3 linked regions of the Struthio camelus genome follow. The protein of the gene in region 3 purifies or fractionates together with the protein of the main gene of each other region. This does not show direct contact. Links are inferred from orthologs where the notes say so. Each region holds a gene or a part of one and is shown on either strand. Other genes may lie near its edges.

Region 1 (7,674 bases), on a different chromosome or scaffold from region 3:
GTGGATGGGCATGGAAGGAAGGACTTAAAGATCTGACTTGTTTGTTTTATTTTCTTTTAGCAACACACCACCACTGGTAGAGTATCTAAAGCTGACTTCAAGGTCAGATTCCTGTTCCACTCAGAGCTCAAGAGACACCAGATAAGCCTCCTGCATTCTCTCAGGACTCCCAGCGAGGCCCCTGATACTAGCTTTACACTCCAAGAACAACAGATTGAAGCTATTAGACTACCTAGTGGTCAAATTTACCGTATACTTGATCCCTCCATCCTCTATTTCTGGTGGCAACTTCTCCCCCTACCAGGAAAAAGGAAAGCCTTTAAACAACACCTTTTCTTATGGTTTTGCAATAAACACTCACCTCTGTAAGGCCTTTAATCTTCAAGTATCCACAGAGATAGGAGTTTTCCATATCCACATGCTAGAAGAGAGTGCAAAGTCCTAACATAAGCATGTGCATGAAGGCACCCAATGGATCCAAAACAGTTTCTAAACCTGTGGTCCTCCAACACTCAATTCTGCTTAAACTGGTACTGACTGTCCAGCTTACTGCACAATGTTCACACTGACATCCCCTTTCCCAAGGCTGGAAACAACTTGGACAGATCCTTTTAGAAGTGCCCAGCTCACTTCTGACAGCCTCCACGTCCCAGGCCTGACGACACCTCACCCACTTTCAGCTTCTTCAAACTGAGGCAGCATCTTCTGTCTGGAGGTCTCCAGAGGGAGTAAATCCCCCTTCTCTACCAAGAAGGAACTTGACTCCCAGTTTTCTCAAAGGGAGAGAGTATCACTGGCAGAATCTCTAACACACCCAGCCCTCACCTACCCCAGCCAAACCAGCAACCAAGAGGGGGAAGGGCAAAAAGCATATTTTTACCCAAGACAATTCAGGCTAGAGGAAGAAAGCATCACCCTGAACTTTCCAGTCCACCTATTTAACAGGCCTGAGCCACCTCCTCTCTAACACGCTAGTCTGTACGCTCAGCCTAGTACCCAGGACTGGTGTGCCCCGTCACACACCAAAGCCTGTTCAAAACAGATGTCTCGTGTGTTTTGAAGAGGCCCTTCTCCCAGATCTAACGCTTTCATGTCACCCTTCTTTGAGTTACTTGGCTGCATCTTGCCTCTTCTGCTATGCAGAAACTAGGTAGGGGGCTGCTTCTATTCTGAATGCCTTTAAAGTAAGAAGACTTTCCAAGTTTTTCCCCCCCAACATCTCCAGATGAGTTTTCAAAGCAAGAACTGAGCTATTTTGGGAAGTGTATACATCAGCTATAAGAAGATGGATCTTCCCCACCTGTGATCAAAGAGAAGCAACATTTTCCTGTACTCAGCAGGGGAAGAGCAGATAGCCACCTCTTCTCAGCTGACACGCGCAAAACAGTAGCAATTTTAGCACAAAGCTATAGCCAGTCTCTGGAACAAGGCAGCGTGCAGTGAAGCTGATCAGCCATGGGATGTCTCTACAAGAGCAAGCTGCACCAGGGACACTTGTGCTGTTGACAAGCGGGGGACCATATGTGAAAAGAGACAGTATGGATAAAATGCTACCCCATCTGTTGACCTTGGGACTCTCACGTTACTCCACAACACTGACCCATGCATCAGTCTTTATCACTGCACTTGTTACAAGCTGCCAGGGTCCCACAGATCCTATGCCACCAAGTTGGGAACAAAGCCGTGACCTGCAGAGCACTTTATAGGAAAGCGTGCACCATATGTCTGGCTTGCCTATTTATTAGTAACCCCACACCTCGCCAGCTCTACCTTAAGCAATCATACCAATGTCTAGGACTAAAATTAAAGCACAGGAGGAGACCAAGACCGCAAAAAGGAAAGGGAAAGCTATACCAGCCAGTGCCCTGATTCCCCAGCACACCTGGGTCCAGGCACGTTCCCACTAGAAACAAACCACTGTGCTTTGCCTCAGGCTCCCTGCTCAGCCTGGGATCCTGGGGAAGCATAGGGCACCACAAGGAGGGATCCTTGGGATCTCAGGTCCAGCAGAGCCCTGCTCTGCTAGCCAGGACCTGGATCCCTACTGCTTTCCAGCCAGGCCTGAAATACAGGCTGCCTCGCTGGTATTGACTCCTTGGGACACCACCCACTTTAAGCCAGCCTTTTGCCTATCCTCCCTGGGGCCCAGGGGAGCAGGGCCAGCCCAGGGCTTGAGGGCAATGGGGGAGACATCCAGGATCACAGACCTCAGCAGAGCTGAGGGCAATAGGGCAAGGGAGTGAAGCGAACAGACCCAAGGAAAATGAGGCCACAGTGGTGGGAGGTGGAGCAGAAGAAACAGGCCTGAGGGTAACAGGGCAAAAAGGGGGAGGGGGGGAAGAAACAGGCCTGAGGGTAACAGGGCCAAAGAGGGGGAGGGGAGAAGAAACAGGCCCTGAGGGTAACAGGGCCAAAGAGGGGGAGGGAGAAGAAACAGGCCCTGAGGGTAACAGGGCAAAAAGGGGGAGGGGGGGAAGAAACAGGCCTGAGGGTAACAGGGCCAAAGAGGGGGGGAGAGAGGAGAAACAGGCCTGAGGGTAATGGGACAAAAGGGGGGAGGCGAGGGGAGCCCGAGCTGAGCGCAACGGGGCAAAGCAGGAGGCCAGGCCTGAGGGTAGCGGCCCCTCGCCGGGGCCCGAGGGGGAAGGGAGCAGGGAGGCGGCCCCGGGCCGGAGGGACGGGGTCCCCCGGCGGTTGGGGGCCGCTCGCAGGCCCGGCCAGGCCCGGGGCAGGGGAAGGGAGGCCGGCCGGCCCCTCACCTGCATGACCACCTCCACCTCGTAGGCGTTACCCTTGCTGCGCTGCTGCCCGCGGAACTTGGCGCCGCTGTAGAGCAGCGAGGTGGCCACGCCGGGCTGCGCCGTGTTGATGGGGGGCGGCGGCACCAGGCTGCTGGCGGCCGCCCCGGACGACGGCGACGAGGCCGAACCCGCCGCCGCCGCCGCTGCCCCGCCCGCGCGGCACCGCTCGCTCCGCACCGGCATCTCGGGCGGGTCCCCGGGCGCCAGCGTGGCCGGGGCTGCGCGCGGCCGGGGGCGCCGGCCCGGTCGCCCCCCCCCCTCCTCCCGCCCGCCCCTCACGCTGCGCCGCCGCCGCCGAGGCCGCCGCTCCTGCCTGGCTCAGGGCCTCCCGGCAGCGCCTCCGCGCGCTCCCATTGGCCCTCGCGGGTGCTGCGGGAGGGGCGGCGCCGAGCCGCTATTGGCCGCCGGCGCGGGGCACGTGCCCCTCTCCCAGCAGGCGCGGCCGCGGGCGCTCCTGGGAAGTGTAGTTTTCCTCCCTCCCTCCGCCGTCTCCCCGCAGGACGGGGCGGCCGAAGGGGCAAAACGCGTTCGCGGTGCGGATTGGCTCCCGCGGCGGGCAGCATGGCGGCGCCCGCGGAGCCGCGCTGAGGCGGACGGTGGCGACAGCGGCGGCGACTGCTCCGCGGTTCCCGGCGAGCGCCGCACGGCCGTTGAGTGCCTCCCGCCTCCTCTCGCCGCGATGTGGCGCGGCTGCCGGCGGCTGCTGCCCGGGCGCTGCTCGCCGGCCCGGCGCCCCGGCCCGCCTCCTGCCGCCGGTGGGGCTGCGGTGGGGCCGGGCGGGGGCCGGGCCTACGCCCCGCCGGCAGGTGAGGGCGGACGGGCCCCTCGGGGGCTTCGGGGCTCCCTCTTGGGGGGTCTGGCGGGCCCCTCTGTTTGGGAGAGCCCGTTCCCTCCTCCGCTGCGGGGGGGAGGGGGTCCTCCCGATGGGACCCCCTTCCCCCCCCCTCCCCGGGCCCTGGAGGGCGACTTCCCTCAAGGTCACCCCGGAGCCCTCGCCAGCAGGACGAGTCAAACAGATGGAAAGCGATAAAACTCTCCGCGAGGAGGCTAACGAGCGTTCAAGCACACCCCTCGCCGGGTCTGGGGCTCCTTAAGCCTTTTTAGGTGCTGAGGTGACAGGGCCCCACACGCCGGGCCTCCCCCTGCTCCTATGCCCTGGCTTCAGCAGGGCTGTCACTGACAGCAGGGCTAAGCCCTTGGTGTATTGGTTTGTTATGGTTGCTATTGTGGTTTTGGTGGGTGTTAAGACTTTGTTGGGGGGGGGGGGGGAGCACTCCAGGTGTGGTTCAGGCACACATTGGGCTGTGAGTCACCTCTGCAGGTCTTGCTGGAAAGGTGTAGATATGAGGACGGTAACATTAGTTTTGTTGCCTATGAGAGGAGGCTGCAGGTTTTCAGGACATATATCCTGGGGCTCTTTGGCATCTCAGTGAAATGTCTTCTCTTCGGTACGTGTATGTGAATCTTTTCAAAACTGTGCCCTAATAATTTGGCATTTTTTGAGGCCATGAAACTAGAGTTGGGTCAGCCTGAGCAGATCCTCTTCTGTTTCACTGGTGCTCTGTAGAGGTGTGGGAACGTGCTCGTATGGAGTGGCACAGAAAACAGACCTGCAGCTCAACCTGTTTGCATTACTGTTCAGGAGGTATAGATTTAGGGATTCAGGATTTATGGTCCTGTTGCTCTTGTCCGGGGAATGGTTTGCAGATTCTTCCTGCTTTGAGTGAGAGATGAACCTGTGAAACATCCATTCCCATGCAGTCCAGGCTCTCAGATGTCTGCTGGGAGTGTACGCAACAGTATTGCTACGAAAGGAGGCTGCTTGTAAAACAGTTGTAATTCCCTCAGATTCACCTTGCTGGTAGAGCAGGCTTTCTCCTGAGCAGAGCAGGAGCTGCCAGCGTGGGATGCGTAGGCTGGAGGGAGCCGAGGGAGTGGTTCCTCCCCTGGTGACTCATTTGTATGCTGCAATGTGCATGATGTCCCCAGCATGATCCAGCTGCTATGACATTGCAGGCTACTCTCCTGCAGGATGTCATCCAAGGTGAGAGATGGGGACTGCTGATTGCATGTAGCTCCTGTAACAAACCCACTCCTGTGGGTGACCGTGGTAGAGGGAGCTGTGCCAAAACCCCCGGTGGGGTGCAGTATCTTGCCCCATGCTCTCTGAGCGTGCTGGGAGCTGTAGTTTTTGCTGATGCAGACAGCCGCATCCCTCCATGTGGTGCATCAGCTGCAGGTGGCGGGTCAAAGCAGAGAATGAGCTAAATTCACTGCAGGAGATTGCGTGGGCTGGAACTGTGTGGGTTTGGAGTTGGCAGGGGTGGCAAGGGACACTGCTGGGGCCTGCCCTGCCTTGTGATTCAGTTCTGCTGGGTTTCTTGTCACTCTGAATTGGAACAAGCTGGGAGAGGGAGTTAGCCAAGGCAGTCCAGGAAATTAATTTGTCAAACATGATTGTAATCAGGGAATTTTGAAAGACTGAGCCCAGAGTGAAACTCCATATGGACTGGGGAGGAATGACAAGATAGGTCCGCTTTAGAAACCTCCCCTGCCAGACTCTGTAGAAACCTGCTGAGGGTGAGTTGGAATGGAGCTGAGATCCCAGCCCTGGGTGGCAGAAGCAAAGAAAAGCTGGGCCCATTCACTTGCTGGTTGTGCACAGCAACACTCCCACCGGTTTCATGATGCTTCCCCAGTGGAGAGGAGCTCACTGAAATGATGTGGTGCTTGGAAGCTGTCTGCAAAAAACACTTCAGAGTGCAGTCTATGGCAGTGCCATATTTTTCTCCCTCCCTCCTTCCCCCAACAAAACTCTTGAGGCCAGGACTTCTCCCCCCCTCCCCCCACCATGTGCAGAACTAGACTGGGGAGAGGCTCTTTTGCCTGGGCACAGGCAGTGGCTAGGGGGTTGCCTGGTCCTCTTCTGGCGAGAGGCTCCCTGCAGGCCCCCAGGCTCAGGGTGTGGATGAACGAGCGAGACCTTGTGACAAGAGGCCAGGCCATCTGGGCCTCGACACCACCGAGGGCTCCATCTGTTTTAAGCTGTAGTGGGAATCAGGGGAGGGGACTGAACTTTGCTCTGACTGCCCTTTGAATGGCTCTTGTTTTTGCCCCCAGAAAGGAAGCGGTTTTACCAGAACGTTAGCATCTCGCAAGGAGAAGGTAAGCGTGGCCACTGGGAGAGGAAGGAAGGACTGGGAGGAGGTGTTGGTCCCTGGGGAGGGGGTTATCACTGCTTCCTTAGCAAGACAGTGGCACACCTGCAACCCGTGTCATATGAGTGGGATATTTGTCACCAGCCTGCTTTGTCCTTTCCTCATTTCTAGCTAAACCATGTGGCTGGATTCCAGCTCTGAATCTGCTCCCTCTGTGGGGTTGTCTGTTGTTCCTTAGGGCATGCTCCTCTTTAATTCCCCAGGATTTCTACTCTGATTCTCCAGGAGGCTTTGAAATAAACCTGGACCACCGGAAGCTGAAAACGCCCCAGGCGAAGCTCTTCACTGTTCCCAGCGAGGCCTTGGCTATTGCAGTGGCAACAGAGTGGGACTCCCAGAAGGACACCATCAAGTTCTACACTATGCACCTGGTGAGCACAGCAGGCCGGGGTGCCCAGATGGCTGCACCGCTGCAGCACCTCAGAGGAGCAGAACGAGGTGTGCTTGGAGCAGTCAGAACAAGGAATGTGGGATTCACGGGAGGGACTCGGAATGCTAGGGGCTGAAGAAGGGTTAGCCAGGCCCGCTGGGACCTGCTGAGGGTTTCGCCAGCTGGCAGAACGGATACCAGGGCAAGGTTTAAGAACCAGTTTGGGATGTAAGCCGTGCTCTGGAGCGAATAAGATGAGGGCAGCTCCTGAAAATGTTTCCTTTTGCATCCTTCCTCCCACAGCTTTTCTGAGTATTTGCAGTAGAACTGAGATGGCTGGGTCTAAAACTGAAGTGACTGTGTAGATATGAGAATGGTCTCCGAGTGCAGAACATGGAGGAAGCAGATTGTCCTAATGCCAAAGGAAATGGGAACAAGAGATCAGGACCTTAGTTGTACACTGAGGAGAACCTTGCAGCTCCGTGGGCAGTTAGATGCTGCCGGGGTTACTGCCAGGGAGGGGAATCTGCCTCACGGAGGAGTTTGAGAAGGGGCTGGGCAGCATTATAAGGGATGGCATGGGGAGGGGGTGGAGGAGACTGGATGAGCTCTGGAGCAGTCTTGGAGCCCTCTGCTCTTGGTTTGGTGAGCCTGCCCCAGCAGCATCTGAGGCCAATGAGAAGAATCCTATTGCATGAGCCAAGCTCTGGCTCTGCATTCCCCTCTAGCTGAGCTCCTCAGTTCCCTCAACTTATCCTGAATTCCTCCACTTCTGCTTAGCCTTGTGCTATGGAAGCTAGTGCTTCCCCATGCCTTGAATAACAGTGGTTTGTATTGCTTTTATCCTACAGACCACATTGTGCAACACAGCTTTGGACAATCCTACTCAGCGAAACAAAGTACAGCTGATCTGTGCAGCTGTGAAGTTCCTGGAGACTGACACTGTCTGGTAGGAGACCGTCAGGGACCCTCTACTGGAGAGGCTGGGCTATCTTATTGCAGTGTGGTTTAGGAAAGGTGCCTGGAGGATTCAAATATGACAGGAGGGAAATGTCTACTGTAACTGAGTCCTTGCAGGGCTCTCACCTGTCCTGGTTTTGGCCCAAGGGTTTGAATTAGTTGAGGCCAGCCCTACCTTTGCAAACCTGGTGGATCTCCACGAACTTAAAGGGTACAGGTATGAGGGAGAAAAGGGACCAGGCATTCTGTTGATCTCTGTTTTGGGCACCTCCATGCTGGGCAGGGGCAGAAGCAGCAAGAAATGAAGTTTTCCATGGGAAAAAGA
Region 2 (7,015 bases), on a different chromosome or scaffold from region 3:
GAAAACAAGGGGCGTTTACACAATGACAAGCCACTTGAGGTTTTTGCCTGACTTCACGGCTGAGCAACGAGACCCCAAATGTTACAGCTCTGCCTAATGTCCTTGGCTCTGTCCTGCTCTGGAAGGAAATATGCGGTGGCCTGCGCTGCCAACGCTATTTCCTCCAGCTTGTCTTTAAAGGTCTCTTTTCCAACAGCTGATCCGCTCTGCAGCTCCGGAGAGTACGTGAGATCCGGCTGGCCCACGGTCTAGCTGGTATGGCTGCGTGCCATGTTGTTGTTTGTGTTGCTTTCATTTTTTTGGCGTTGCTTGGCTCTTCCACGCAACTTGTTTTCATCCTGAACTATGCGCTCATTACATACCCAAACGCCCACGCAGGTTTGTGCAGGAGGAAACTCAAAACACACGCAGCAGTGGAGCGAGTCTGTGACGGCAGGCAAAATGTCTGTCTCCAGGCAGCCACAAACAACTGTCAAATCCCCGAGCTGTCCGCGGTCGGGTTTCAAGGTTTTCGACGACGAGCGTGATGTTGGCATTCGCACCCGTTTGCGCATTGTCCTGGCCAAGCAACGCGGACGACATCTCTTGGGGTCGCCCTGGCCTCTCCTGGCAACTCCAGCTACCGCCCCAGGCACCGTCCAGCCCCTCCAAACGCCGCAGGGACCTGTTGTTGCTGCTAGAAGAGATCTCACTTCCCCTCCAGAGCCAGAAATAGGCCTCCTCTGTAGGCTGGTTGCTTCATAACTGCCCTCTTTGGGGTTTCTCATGAGCTTCTCCAAAGCCACGTGTCTGAGCTGTGGCCAGAGGCGGTGCAGGGCAGCGGCGGTGCCACTGGACCCATCAGGTCCCATGGATGCGGCGTTGTCTTGGCACAACGTGGCCATGGACTAGGAGAGCGGGTCCAAGTAATCATGTTTTCCGAGTCCCTCTTACGCCACCGCGATCGAGCGCTGGCAGCCTCCCAGAGCAGGATGTGGCGAGCTCAGCTGGAGGCCGGTGGGCTGGCCAAGGATGTGTCACTCTGGCCCTCGGCACGCTGTGCTCCTCCCGCCGCGCAAAGCCTGCTCGGAGAGCTGCGGTGCTCTCCCCGTTCCCACCAGCCGGACAGACCGATCCCCAAAACCGGGAGAACAGGTCTGCCAGTGCGGTTTGCAGCCTCTTCGCTTCCTGCCCCAATCCTGTGCTCTGGAGGAGTAAAGATTTTCCAGAACTGTCACTGCAGTGGATTTCACTGGCGTTCGATTCCTTTCGTCAAAAACGTGCTAAAAATAAGCTGGCTCAGGGAGTAGGTTACTGCGTCCTGCCTGGCCAGGTCTTGAGGGGAGCAGTAACGGGATCCTGGGCAAAGTGGCTCCCGGGGGCGTTTTACCCTCACGTCGAGCCGTGAGCTTGTCTGCTGCTGCATGCCAGCAGCCCCTCCGCCACGCTCCCTCCTCGGGTGCGGGGCCCTCGCCTGCCGTTTGCTCCTAGTTCCGCAAGTTGCGTACGCAGAGGTCACAGGTTTGATTTCGGCATCGCCGAGAGCTCTTCTCGGCTCCCAGTTATGACATAGCATCTCTTATTCTGGAGCGGGTAATATCTTATTAGCGACATCCTTCATAAACTATTACCTCTGCAGTAGCCGGGGGTGGGGGGAAAAGAAAAAATTAAAAAAAAAGTCCTCAAGCAGAAGTCTCGATGAGTGAAATCTTAAACGCCACAGGAAGGCTGCAAACTTGCACACTCGTTACCAGAATGACTGAAGAAGTTTGTACTCGGTGCACGGCCACTGTTGCGCTGTCCTAGAGCTGCGCTGATACTAAGGAAAACGCTGCGTCCCCGCTCAGGGAACGGGTCTCGTCAAGGCATGGAGACCTTTTGAACGATGCAGTTGATGTTCAGCCGTCAACGCCGCTGAGCGAATTTTTCATCCGCAGCCAGGTTTCGTTGCTGTGTTCCAACTGTCTCTCCTAAAATAAGAGGAGGAGGGGGAAAAATCCTTGTGTTAATTTAATCTACTCAGGCATCTTTCTGTCCTGCCTGATAATAACTCTCCAATCTGTCATTTCCAACTGACATCTGTTTGTTTGCTTTTTTATCTTTATCTTGAAATACCTCCTTTCCTGAGCAGCCCAGAGGCGTCGCAGCGATGTCCCAAACCTTCCCCTTCCCTCTTAACCTCGCCGTCGGTGAAACCATCTCCCTTCTGCGGCTCCCTTAAAAAAAGAAAAATAAAGAAATAATTTAAAATGCAGAAAAAAACTTTAACAAGTCCTCCTGGAGACACCTGTCAAGGAATACCCACTTTACCAGCCGGGATGGCTCTGCAGGGGCGGGCAGAGCTCTCCGCCAAGTTATTAAATCAGATGATGCAGGAGGCATGAGAAACAGGCGGTGTTTTTTCCCATGGCAAGGCCCTGCAGGCCACTGCTTCGTGCAGGCAAGCTGCGGTACAGACTGGGGGAAAAAAAGCCCAGAAACAAGGAAAAAAATCCTTCTGACTGATTTTAGCTCCCGACGCTCCATTTCCAATCGCTTGCAAATGGGACAATTGGTAAAACAAGTGACTCCGTCCACGCACCAGTGAATCCGCTGCAAAGACAAAAACAACCACCCTGCAAACGCGTGCCTGCAGTGAATGAAAAGGCGGTGAAAACACGGAGGATGATTTGCCGCTAGTTTGTTCCACAAAACCATTTGGGATGCTCCGTCGTTCGTGTCGTCGGACGTGCAAGAAAGGTTACTTTAATCGATTTTACATCATTGTTCGAACTTTAATTCTACTTATTATTAACTTTTTATCTATTTACTGTCATGTATATTTAATTGCTTTAATCCATCTTTGGAAAAAATGAAACCCCAGCATTTTAACATGGCGTAATAAGTGTCGAAACAAGTTTCTTCCTTTTGGTGCTTCTTCTGCAGTAGAAAAAGTTACAGTCAAACATTTAGCTAATAAAACGGAGCAGGGGAGAACGACTAAGCTGACTTACGATACATATCAGCTAGAGAGCCAGCGCGCCATAAAATCCCGCCCCGGTTTTATTCGACCCCTTTCCCCGCTACGTACCAGCGGCTTCGGTCTGACGGGCCGGGCTCTAATTTTAAGTTATTCTGGGATGGAAAAAGAAGACACCACGGCCTAATTAAATCCATGCAGCGGTGCTTTGACTGGCGGAGGAAAACAGACGACACGCAAGAGATGAGGGAGGAATCATTCCGTCCCCAAAAACATAGCGACAAGGGTAAAAAGGATGTCTTGCCGTTGCTCGGGCAACGCCGAGCCCAGCGCGGAGGAGAAGCGGACAGAAGGAAAAGAAACTTCTTCACCAGGGCGAAATGAGCCTCAAGGTGGGGAGGAAGCTCCGGGATCACCATAAATTGCTGTGAAAATCGCCAAAACCCCACGGCTGCCCTTAAAATTAGTCCTGCGGCACGTCTCCCACTGGTGACCCGTGGCCCCCACGGTGCCCCATAGTGTGGCCCCCACGTCTCCCACTGGCAGTCTATGGCTTAGGCACCCCACTGGTGACCCACGGCCCCCACTGTGCCCCACGGCGTGGCACCCATGGGGACCCCAAGGCCCAGGCACCCCACTAGTGACCCAGCTCCCCCATTACACCTCAGGGAGACCCCAGAGCCTATGCAAGGCCTGGAAGACCCCCACTGGGGACACCACACCCCACTCGTGACCCACAGCCCTCACGGCCCCCAATGCACCGCGTGGCCTGCCACCCGTGGGGACACCACTCCCCATACACCCCACTCACGACCTCGGCCTGCGTGGCCCCCCCTGAATGCCCCATACCCCACTCACGACCGCGGCCCGCGTGGCCCCCCTGGCGCCCCCCAACCTGCATGTCCCCGAGTGGCCCCACTCCCGCCTCGTGACCGATAGCCCGCGTGGCCTCCATGGCACCCGCGGCCTAGGTGGCCCCCCAGAGCGGCCCACGCCGCCCACTCGCGCCGGCGCGGCCCCCTCACGGCCGCGGCCTAGACGCCGCCTGGCGCGGCCCGGCCCCGCCCCGGCCGCGCGGCCCCTTTAAGCGCGCGGGCCCCGCCCCGCCCCTGGCGGCCGCTGCCGGGCGCCGCGGCGGCCGCTGCCGACAACAAGATGGCGGCGGCAGGGCCGGCGGGCCCCGAGAGCCGTGTGCTGGGCTACACCCTGCACCGCTGGAGCAGCTTCTCCTCCACCTACCTGCCCGAGTGAGTGCCGCCGGCCGACCCCCCTGCCCCCCCCTTCCCTCCTGTCACCCCCCCGCGCCCCGCCGGCCTGCGCGGCGAGGGCGGCGCTGCGGCAGCGGCCGGGCCGCTGTGGCCGCCGCGGGGGGGGGGCTGCGGGGCGGCGCGGGCTCCTGGCCGTGGGGAGGGGGAAGGGCGGTGGGTGGAGGAGGGGGGGAGCGGGTCCGGGGGGAGCAGGGGGTGGGGGAGGGGGCCCCCGGCGGGGGGGGGCTCAGCGAGTGGGGGATGGGCGGGTGAGGGGGTTTGGGGAGGAGGGGCGAGTGTGGGGGGGGTCGGCGAGTGGGGGAGGGGTGGGAGAGGTCTGGGGGAGGGGCGAGTGTGTGGGGGGGGCAGCGAGTGGGGGAGGGGCGAGTCTGGGGGCTGCGAATGGGGGAGGGGCGGATGAGGGAGGGGTCTGGGGGGCGAGTCGGGGGGGGTCAGCGAGTGGGGGAGGGGCGGGTGAGAGGGGTCTGGGATGGGGGAGGGGCGAGTCTGGGGGGTTTGGGATGGGGGAGGGGCGAGTCTGGGGGGGTCAGTGAGTGGGGGAGGGGTCTGAGGGGACGGGTGAGTCTGAGGGGGGTCAGCGAGTGGGGGGAGGGGCATGTGAGAGGGGTCAGTAAGTGGGGGAGGGGCGAGTCGGGGGGGTCAGCGAGTGGGGGAGGGGCATGTGAGGGGTCAGTAAGTGGGGGAGGGGCGAGTCGGGGGGGTCAGCGAGTGGGGGAGGGGCATGTGAGGGGTCAGTAAGTGGGGGAGGGGCGAGTCGGGGGGTCAGCGAGTGGGGGGGCATGTGAGGGGGTCAGTGAGTGGGGGAGGGGCGAGTCGGGGGGTCAGCGAGTGGGGGAGGGGCGAGTCTGGGAGGGGTCTGCGAGTGGGGGAGGTGTGGGTGAGCAGATGTGGGGGGGACAGCAGGTCTGGGGGGGCAGGCCATGGGGGGAGGGGCGGACCATCGATGTTAATTAGATAAGGCAGCCTGTGGGGTAGGGGCTGACAAGCAGGTTTTGGGGGGGGCGGAGGGCCTATCCCTCGCTTGTGGGAGGGGGTCCGTTTTGTATGGCCTGCGAGCGGGGTGGGAGGGGGTGGCCCCCCCCCCCCAGGTGTGGGGCGGGCAGGGTGCGTGGCAGGGGAGGGCTCATGCTCCGCCGGAGTCCCATCCCGGGATCCCGTGTCGCCGTGGGTGTGAGGCAGTCTCCTTTCGACTTGCTGATATTAAAATTGGGGATGGCCGGGGTACAATCTAGAGGTGTGCTTGTCGGCGTGTTGTCCTCCGCGCTGGAGAGCAGGAGCGGGGTTAAAAATACACTCTTGGGACACTTTGGTCGTTGCAGGCTGCCGCAGAGCTTTGGCTCCCGATTGCATTGAAATTTATAACCTTCGATTGGGGCTAGAGGACTTAAAGACACCTTTCAACAAGACACCTTTCTCACTTTTGATTATATTTTGATTAATTTCATGAATTATCTCTGTAATCTAAAAGGAAGTTCGTTGCCAAAAGCTTTTCTGGCTACAACTTTAGTCGTTGCATCTCTTTATACCTTTGCTGGGTTAAGTATGGAGAAGACTTGGACCTCTTTTCTCATTGTTAGCCTTTGGTGAGAACTAAGTCATCACTCTGCCTTTTCCTTCTTGAAAAGACTTAACTTGCACAGAAAGGCATTTCTTTCAGGACTGGGATCGTTCTTGTAGTTTTTCAGCAGTGTCTCTGGCTTCCAGCATTGTATTAAAACTTGGTCCCTGAATGGGAGGGCGACAGTCCATTATTGATCTTCCTGATGCAATATAAAAAGATAAAAGTGTCTTTCTCCTTGATACTCCTTTCCAAGGTTCCCGTTAGTCCTTTTGCCACAGATTTGTGAGGAATTAATGCCGACATGGTATCTGCAGTGCTGCCCAAAGACCTTAATGTCATTGCCTTCCATGATACAATTCCCTTTTCTGTAATATGGTTGGTGTTTTACAAGTGTATGACCTTGCGTGTGACTGTTTTTAAGACAGTGTTTAGAAGAGCTTATCACCAATAGAAATAACTGGAACAAGTTTTAAGCTGTGTTCAATAATTCCAGCTGTGGGGTTATTGTGTAGCATACTGACCTTCATCCAGGGGGTGTCGTTTCTAATATTTATGTGCTTTCTTCTGGCCTGTAGTGAAAATATTGGATAATGTCATGAGGAGAGTGCCCCTTATGAAACTTTGTTTTTTTGCTTGATGTCTGCTAATTTTGCCTCTCTCGTATTCTGGGAGAGAACTTAAATGCCACCTGAAATGGAGGGGGAAGGTTCTGACCTGGGACTTAAGATTAGATTCTCAAAAGGAGAAAAAAAATTGTAGAGAAAACATACAGGGGGAAAATAGAGGAGGGAGTGCTGATGGAAATCCGTGCTGCAGGATGACTATACAGCTGCAGCTAGAAGTTTTCTTGGTCTTTAATACACAGATGAAAAGTTATGCTTTTGTGAAGGGGGACTAGGAATTCTGGTTACACCATAGTTTAAATAAGTTTGTTTACAAGCCTAAGTAGGAAGAAACCACTTCCACGAAAGGGACTTCTGCCATAATATGTGCAGGAATACACTACTGCTATGATGATATCGCTTGTCATTGGGAGCATGCTTACTACTGCTGCACTGTTGCTAGCAAAATGTGTTTTGGAAGAGGAACAAAATAGCTTACCCGTGTTCCGCGTAAGCTAAGTGCAATTTAAACACACTTCTTAAATACTTATATAGCTTTAAATGTAAAACAAAGCTATGAAATAAAAATTTTTCCTCTGTGCTCTTTAGGGGATCTGCATATCTGAAACCTGCTGCTGACCCATGT
Region 3 (7,856 bases):
ACTATCTCTTTGTTACTATTTTATTATGACAGACATTTAAAAATCACATAAATGATTGTAAAGAACTGTCTGGCCAGAAATTATGACTTCTGCCAAGACAAAATAACGAGAGATTACACAACAAAAAATCCAAACACTCATTCCACTAGTCTGTATTGCCCAATAAACAGAGATGTCCAAATAGATTCTCTTGGTAGTCATTTTTTGCTTGAAAAGCCATTAAGCCAAAATCCAGCGTATGTCCAGTCAAATCTAGGCAACTTAAATGCATAGGTATTTTTGGCAAACAAGTAAGTGGATTATTCTCCCCTAAAACTTGCTGTAGCAGAAACTAACTACAGCAAAACAATGAAAATGTCCACAAGAAAAGCTATCAGATTCCTAAGAGAAAAGATTTTCCCCTTGTACATATCTCTTTCAGCTTTACACTCAGAAGTTATTTGTAATAAATCAGCAGAAGAAAGCCTGTGAATAGTCTTTTTAGTAATTCAGTGTTCGCAGAATACTACAGAACAATTAGCTTCTCACTGCATTGTGCATCACAGTCATAATCTAAAAGAAAATACATTAGCAATCGGACGCTAGGCACAGAGTAGAGTTCAAAGCCAAGCTTAGTCAGCCAGACACATGTTTATACCATCCAAGAAGAATAAACAATATTGCCTTGACTACTCAGGGAGATTAAATATATTAGGGAAAGAGAGCAGAAAAACAAAGTTTCTCTTCCTAATCAGTCGCTTTAACATAGGAGTATTTTGCATTTAGACTTTGTTATAGAAACAACTCAAGAAATTTCAAGAGACTATGAGTGGGGAAAAGAAAATCAGTGTTTAGAGGATGAAGCAGCTTCTAACAGTTTCTTTTTCTCCACCCACTTCCTTTTCATATCCACTGCCTATTTAAAGGTCTTTACATACAACCTTGCTCTCACCTCTTGTCCTACAACATGATTTTCTTCTTCAGTAGTACGGTTTTTCTTTTTTTTTTTTTAATTATATACATAAGCATATTTTAGCACTTCTGACCCCTGAACTATGAAGCTTCACATTAAGAGGCCTGGCTGCTTCCACTTCTGCTCATTTTCTAAAATATTCAGGATATAGCATATAATAGCTGCAAATATCTGGTTTTATTAGAAAGTTTTAAATAACATGTTAAAGAAAAAATAAGAATTTTGCCATCCGTGAAGACAGCTTACCCTCAGATGGCAAAAGTTAATAGGGTCTCTAAATGGGCGTACACGTAACACATTAGTTTCATTGTAGAGTACTGACTAAAACAAAGCTCCAGTTGGCATGCATTCTCCTGGGATGGCATCACCACTGATTTCATAAGCACCGAAAACATGTCTGGGGCCTTCACGAAACAGTCCCCAAAACTGTTAACCCAAGTCTGCAGGGAAGACACAGGGAGCACCCCGGAGGGACTGCGCACTTTTCATTTTTTTATGGAGAGTGTAAGCTCTGGATCTGCAACAGGATTCTTGTGGGCAAATCTTTGCAGCACCACAGAGGCCTGTGAAGATCAGTGCAAGCATGAGGGCCACGCCACACATCCTTCCAGGCAAGGGCAGCACCTCGGTGTGTGAAGACACACATCCTATCGACTGTCCTTAATGCACAAACCTAAACTGTGTTGGATAGAAAAAATAGTAAAATCAAGTCAAATCAAATAATGCCCCAAAAAGATTAAGTGTTCCTTCATCCCCTCCCAAAACGCCTCAGAACTGGCACTCCACATTTACTGTTGGTGTAAATTGCTGGGTACACACAGCAGCTCTAATATATTTGTTGCTACGTTCCTGGAATTAAGTGCACTTCCAAGCAAGCTTCGCACCTGTATTTCTACAGGACTAAGACAAACACAGTTTTCTCCGAACTGAACAAAAGCAGATCGCAGAAACCGGTGAAGCGGCACAGTTTGCTGTCAGGTTTGGGCTTAGGAGCCCGGGAGTTCCAGTTTAAAATCCCCGAGCCGTGGCTCGCTTCCTACACAGCCTGGGGTAAACCGCTCGGGCTGCCTCCCCGTTCCCTCCCGCTCCGTCGAGAAACGCTGCGTTACCTCTGTCCGGGGCATTTGGCAAAGCTGAAGCGGCCCCGTGTTTAAAGCTCACGCCTCAGAGAGCTCACTCACCCGCCAGCACTAGCCGTAAAAAAAAAAAAAAAAACCAAAAAAAAACAAAAAAAAACCTGCACGGCCAAAACTTGGGAGGCTGCGCTTACGCTCAGCTCCAGAGCGGCTTCGCCCTGAGCGCTCCCCAAGCTAGCCACGACTAAAGCAAACAACGGAGCGGCTGCGGAAGTAACGACGAGGAAAACAAGGACAGCCAGCACAACGCTGCCATCCATCCGTCTGTCCGTCCATCCGTGCTGGCCCCGTCGCCGCTCAGCAGGAAGGGGCAGGAGATGCCTCAAGCAGCAAGGACAGGCAAGGCCCTGCTCCTGCTACAACTTCCCCCCACCACACACACACCCCAAAAGTGTCACCCTTAAAGATAAATAAATAGATAAAAGAAAGAAAGAGTGGGACACCGGGGGGGGGGGGGGCTGCTCAGGCCCCGCACAGCGGCCGGGACCCCCTCGGGGCCGCCGCACCAGGCCGCTCGCCGCCGGCCCGCGGTGAAGTTTCGCCGCTGGCGTTTCCCGGCCCGGTGAAGGGAGCGGGGGGGACGGGACGGGCCCGGTGCGGCGGGGGGACCGGGGAGGAGGCGGGGGGGGGGGGTCTGCACCTACTCTCGCTCTGCAGGATCTCGCGGCGCAGCCCGCCCGCGTACTGGATGAGCTCCTCCAGGCTGCGCTCGCAGAGCTGCCCGTAGCCCGAGAACTTCTGCAGCACCTTCTCCAGCTCCCGCTCCACCGTCACGCACTGGTCCATAGCGGCCGCCGCCGCCGCCGGGCCCCGCTCCTCCGCCGCCGCCGCCGCCGGGCACCGGGCCCCACTCCGCCGCCGCTGGTTCCCCCCCCCACTGCCCCCCGATCCTGCCCGGCCCTCGCCGCCCTCCGGCAGCACCGCCCGGCCCGCGGAAGGGCCCCGCTCGCCTCCCGCCGCGCTCGCAACTTCCCGCTCCTCTCCGGTGACGGCGGCGGCGGCGGCCGTCGCGCAGGCAGCGCCGCGGGCAGCCCGGGGGCCTCGGCGGCGCTCGGCGCAGGCAGAGCAACGGGCAGCCCGGGGGCCTCCCGGCGGGCCGCCAAGGGCGGGGCGGTGAGTGTTGGTCAGGCAACGCCGCGGACAGCCCCGGAAGGGCCTCGCCCCCCGCCGCGATGGGGGGAGTGAGTTGCCCCTCTCGAGCCGGCGGAGGCCTCAGCAGCGCGGGCCTCTAGGCTCCCCCCTTAGGCAGCCCGCGGGGCGGGCGCTGAGAATAACAGTCTAGGGCGAGGGGGGTCCTCAAAGTGCCGTGTTACGACTCAGGCAGTAAGGTAGGCAGCTAAGAGCGGGGTCCTGCGGGTGCCGTTGCCATGGTGACAGGCGCGGCCCGCGGGGCCCTGATGTGCGGCCCAGACCGGGCCGCACCGGCGGCTCCTCGGGCCGTGGCGGAGGGGGCCGAGGGGTCTCCTGCGCCGTGGGGCGCCGCCGGCTGGGGCTGGTCCCTTAGGTGTAACTTAGCCCCCGTGCTGAGGTGAAAATCGCCGGGCAGCAGCCCGTCGCGGCGGGAGCGGAGCTCCGCGGGGGCCGGGGGCAAGGCCCTTCCCCACCGCCCCCAGCCTTGCACTGCTACGTACCGCCGAGAGGCTTGGAGCGGGGTCAGTGCTTCATTAACAATCCTGGCGGGCCGGAAACGGAGGATTTAGGCTGTCATTAGGGCACTAGCTTGGCCAGCAAACTTCCTCTTGAGTGTTGAGTCTCGTGGGTTAAAGTCCTGCAGCCGACTGATGAGCGCGGTTGAAAGAGATGCATGCCCCTGTTTGCTTGAGTATCGCTTGGTTGGCGTACTTGTGGCAACTTCAGTGTTTGGAAAGTGTAGCACAAACCAGACCGTGGCCCCACGGTTTCTGTAGCGCAGTACATCAAAACCTCCTGCTCAACTAGACAAAACTACCTGCAAAAACAGCACTTGGTCTGAGCCTGGAGTGATGTTGTGTCGTCTGTGCCCGTGTAAAGTACTGCTGAAATAGGATAAGAAAATAGAGAAATCTGTATTCTCTTGCAAGAGCACGTGATTTGTGTAGATGCCTACAAGTGGCTGTCATTCTGTTGGATTCAGACCAAGACTGCTGCCCTTGTTTGTAGTCTTATTCTTTATGTAACCATATGTGATGTTTAAAGCCATGCAAATATCATCTTGGGTTTTATGTCATTAGCATGCTGGTTTGATTTGTTACGTTCTTCACCACTGTATTCTCCTTTGTCTTCTGTTAGCATAGGCAAGCAAGTTCACTTTTTTTTTTTTTGTCATTAAACAAAACCTATGTCTTTTGCAGGGAGCAGTAAATGGATTCTCACTGTTAGAAAAAAGAAAATATTACCTGCTTCAAAAAAAATGATCCTTTATTTCAAGATTTAATTAATCCATTTTGCTCCTGTATATTGGTTTGGCCTTGATACGTGTTCAGTTTCTGTGACATTGACTACTGCGTATTTGAAGGCAAGGGAACTTGCCACGGGACGGGGAAGAGTGACTCTCAGCTACAACTAATAAAATGCTTGACTAGATAAAGCTTTGAGCAACCTGGTCTGGTGACATAGCTGGCCCTGCTTTTTGAGCAGGCGGCTGGACTGCGTGACCTCCTGGCATCCCTTCCATCCTGAATTATTCTATGATTCATTACTAGATCATGTAAGGAGTGCCTCATTTAAATAGCTAGTGCTTTAGTTGAGCTGTCAAATCTTGGCCATCATGCTGCAAAATAACATCTACGTGTTAAATCTGTGTCCTTTTGGCCACTTGTAGATAATAGGAAACACCTTACAGTTTCTCCACATGTAATAAAATAGTGTTATTTGGCTGCTGCCATTTTGCTTTGAGACTCTCACACGCACTTACTGGCTGTTTTGAATAATATCAGTTAATGACAAGTAGGCAGGGTGTCATATAATGTATACAATTTGTGGCAATGCACCTATATTGTAGAAAAAGTACATCAAGGGATAGTATGTGAGTGAGCTCCTAACAATTACACTTACAGAGCAGGCTGACTCTTAGGAAAACTGGTTTCAGATAGTCTAAATGTTAGTTTGCTCAAATTTATCTTGTTGTATGTCAATATTAAAACCGTGCAAGAAGAGGGTATGATAGTATTTAACTTGGCAAGGGATTTAACTTGGTAAGGGACTGACTTACAATTTTCAGTTTCAATGTTATGGACTTCAAAATGACAGCCCTTCTTTCAGTGTTCCCTGTATAAGACTGAGTCTAGGAAGTGGATTATTGCCTGTATTTCCAGGCTGCGGAGTCAGCAACTGCCCGTCAGGAAGGATGGGGGAGGAGAGGGAATCCTTGCCATTTATCAAGGGGCAGCTGAGGCTTCAAATTTGGCCCTCTGACAAGAAAAGATGGTTGTCCCATTTCTCAGGATTTGGTCTCGTTCTCTGGTAAATCATAGTAAAATATTTTTGCTGCCAAGATTGTTTAAAAGCAAATCCCTGCTTCAGGTTTATGTTTAAGGGTAGGACTTACATACTTCATTCTCTTCACGTTTGTAAGACTGCTCTATGAGCATCGGACTGACTGTCTGATGGCTGTTTAATATCGTTAATTAGGTTGAGTTAACACTGGGGTCTTTAAAAATGTCAGCATCTTTCTTGTTTGCCTTCAGCCCAAATGAGTTTTCAATTCACTGTTCTCTGCATTTCCAGATAATTAAAATCCCTGAAAACGTGTTTGCAGCTGACACGTCAAAGACATTCGGAGTTCCAGCTAGAAACCAAGAAATGCCGGTTGCGTCTAGAACATCATGGCCAGTTCAGGTGGGGTCAGTTTAATAAGTCAGGGATGCGAAGGTGGGGAGAAAAAAGAGGATGAGAGAGTCTGGGAGAGGAGAATTGTTTTAGGAGGTCTTTCTCACTGTACTCAAATATGAGTCCGAGGAAGAAAATCCAAGCCTCTGTTAATATGTCAACATTTTCTGGTTTGTTTGAGCAGAGCCCTCAGTGCTGTGGGAAAGTCTCCTAGGCACCAGTGTTTTAGCACAGAGGCCCCAGGTCTGCTGCTCAGCTTTCCTAGCAATAATCCTTTTCTCTTCCAGGCTTTTGGTTAACTCACCTGCAGTGGCCAGTTCCTGGTCATACCAGTGCCCAGTATGCTTTCCATTTGCGGCTGTGCCCCTATTCATCATTGCTTTCTGTTGCCCCTTTGCCTCTGTGTTCATAGCTGCTTTGCTTTTGGTTGTTTGGGGGGCTTTTGAACAGTGGTTTGAAACATACTTTTTACTTTCTTGAAGTTACTCCAGGGTTTTGAGTTTTGGCAGATGATTAGCTTAGTATCTGCAGGGGACTCATCATCACTTACCACTGGGGAATGTTAGGAACTGATTTAACTCAGCCCATGAGCATTAGGAAATGACATATTGGTGACAGCCTCCCCAGCAGTTGGTGTTGCAAATAATTTTGCTGTGAGTGTAGACTATTAATTGTTGCTAGGTGCTTTCCAGCTGGAGGAAGCCAGACTATCACTAAGCACAGCACACAGCCTGAAGCAATAAGGGGAAGGAGGGGATACAACAAAGTGATTGGGTGGAGAAGGGTCTACAGCTTCTCGTGTTAAAAACAAAATGCTTTTTTTCTTTTTTAACTCAACACACAAAGTTTCTCTGCAAACATTTAACTCCGTATCTTCCTCCCACCCAGCACTCCACTTATTCTTGAGCTGCTCACTTGAAACAAAAAGTACAGAAATCAGGCAGCTTCTTGTGTGTGTCACAGAAGAAAGGGGTCTTCATGAAGCTTTTAGAAGAGAAGAAAAATGTGGTTTTCTTGGTGTGTTTTCAATACTTGAGAGCCTTCCTTTGGTCCTAGCGACAGGTGATGTTGAGTGTGCTTTTTATTGAAAGTACTTTGGCTCTTCGAACAGTAAGAACAAAACCGTTCTCAGTTTTGTTTTGGCCAAGGGGAAAGGATTAATCCTAGTGAGGTGGCCGCTTTCATATTAGGGAGATGGCCACTTACTCCGTTGAAGAGGGAGCTTATGCAGCTTTAATGTACTATGAAGGAGGAGGCAGCGCTTCAGCCCTGTCCTCCCACAAGCTCTTCCTGTCGACTGTTCCTCCAGTACGTTGTCCTCACGCTGCACTTCCCACAAGAGGCTCGCTTCAAATCAGAGTGAACTGATGAAATCAGTTTGCATTTAATTAAGCAGCATCAGCAGAGCTGGGTTTTGCAGTCCACCCTCTCCGCCTTTAATTTTTACTGCACCACATAAAAAAGGTATGGAGAATAAGGGTTGAGATAGCTCCTGATATGAGGCACAAAATTTACACGCCCCCAAGGGCTTGGTTGGTGGGCAGCTGCTTCTACAATCTCTCTCCTCTTCCACTTTCCAGAAAACAAACTGCACTGGGTCCGTTGCAGAAGAAAATAGCGTCCCGAATTTTCCTCTTGAAGAGGCAACGGCTGTGCACGAACGTGCAATACCAGGCAGGCTGAACCTGCATCCCACTCTGCCCAAATCTTAGGCTGGATAGGTTAGGGCACGGAAAGACAAAGGGAAAGGATAGAGTTCTTATTCCTCTTCTAGAACTGTTGACATTTTGCCTTTTTTTTTTTTTCCTTTTCTTTAAATCATACCACCCTATAAATGTGTTTAACAGTTCTGAGGAGTTTGGCTATGTAAATGCTTTCTCTCTCCAGGTCAATTTTAATGTTATCTTTTAAAAATGTGATTTTTATACCCTGGTGCGGAATTACTTAAGCCCGTACACTCT

The links. Proteins that work in one complex are often made in the same cells at the same time.
Region 1: the proteins of RMND5A (region 3) and GID4 purify together in Homo sapiens (affinity purification with mass spectrometry; 4 studies listed by BioGRID and IntAct, counting the BioPlex papers as one, with this or other methods). This does not show direct contact. The link is inferred for Struthio camelus from reciprocal best matches to the Homo sapiens genes RMND5A and GID4.
Region 2: the proteins of RMND5A (region 3) and MKLN1 purify together in Homo sapiens (affinity purification with mass spectrometry; 4 studies listed by BioGRID and IntAct, counting the BioPlex papers as one, with this or other methods). This does not show direct contact. The link is inferred for Struthio camelus from reciprocal best matches to the Homo sapiens genes RMND5A and MKLN1.

What each region holds. Positions count from the first base shown.
Region 1 is NC_090956.1:3,742,843-3,750,516, forward strand, and holds the start of GID4 (glucose-induced degradation protein 4 homolog), read right to left. Parts: upstream 3,015-7,674; 5' UTR 2,985-3,014; coding exon 2,760-2,984; intron 422-2,759; coding exon 362-421; intron 1-361. Other genes in the region: ATPAF2 (ATP synthase mitochondrial F1 complex assembly factor 2), read left to right, coding at 3,481-3,607, 5,922-5,966, 6,245-6,390, 7,241-7,338.
Region 2 is NC_090942.1:4,288,694-4,295,708, reverse strand, and holds the start of MKLN1 (muskelin), read left to right. Parts: upstream 1-4,001; 5' UTR 4,002-4,093; coding exon 4,094-4,185; intron 4,186-7,015. UniProt on the Homo sapiens protein: Component of the CTLH E3 ubiquitin-protein ligase complex that selectively accepts ubiquitin from UBE2H and mediates ubiquitination and subsequent proteasomal degradation of the transcription factor HBP1.
Region 3 is NC_090945.1:80,788,578-80,796,433, reverse strand, and holds the start of RMND5A (E3 ubiquitin-protein transferase RMND5A), read right to left. Parts: upstream 3,015-7,856; 5' UTR 2,875-3,014; coding exon 2,733-2,874; exon of another isoform or gene 2,062-2,732; intron 1-2,061.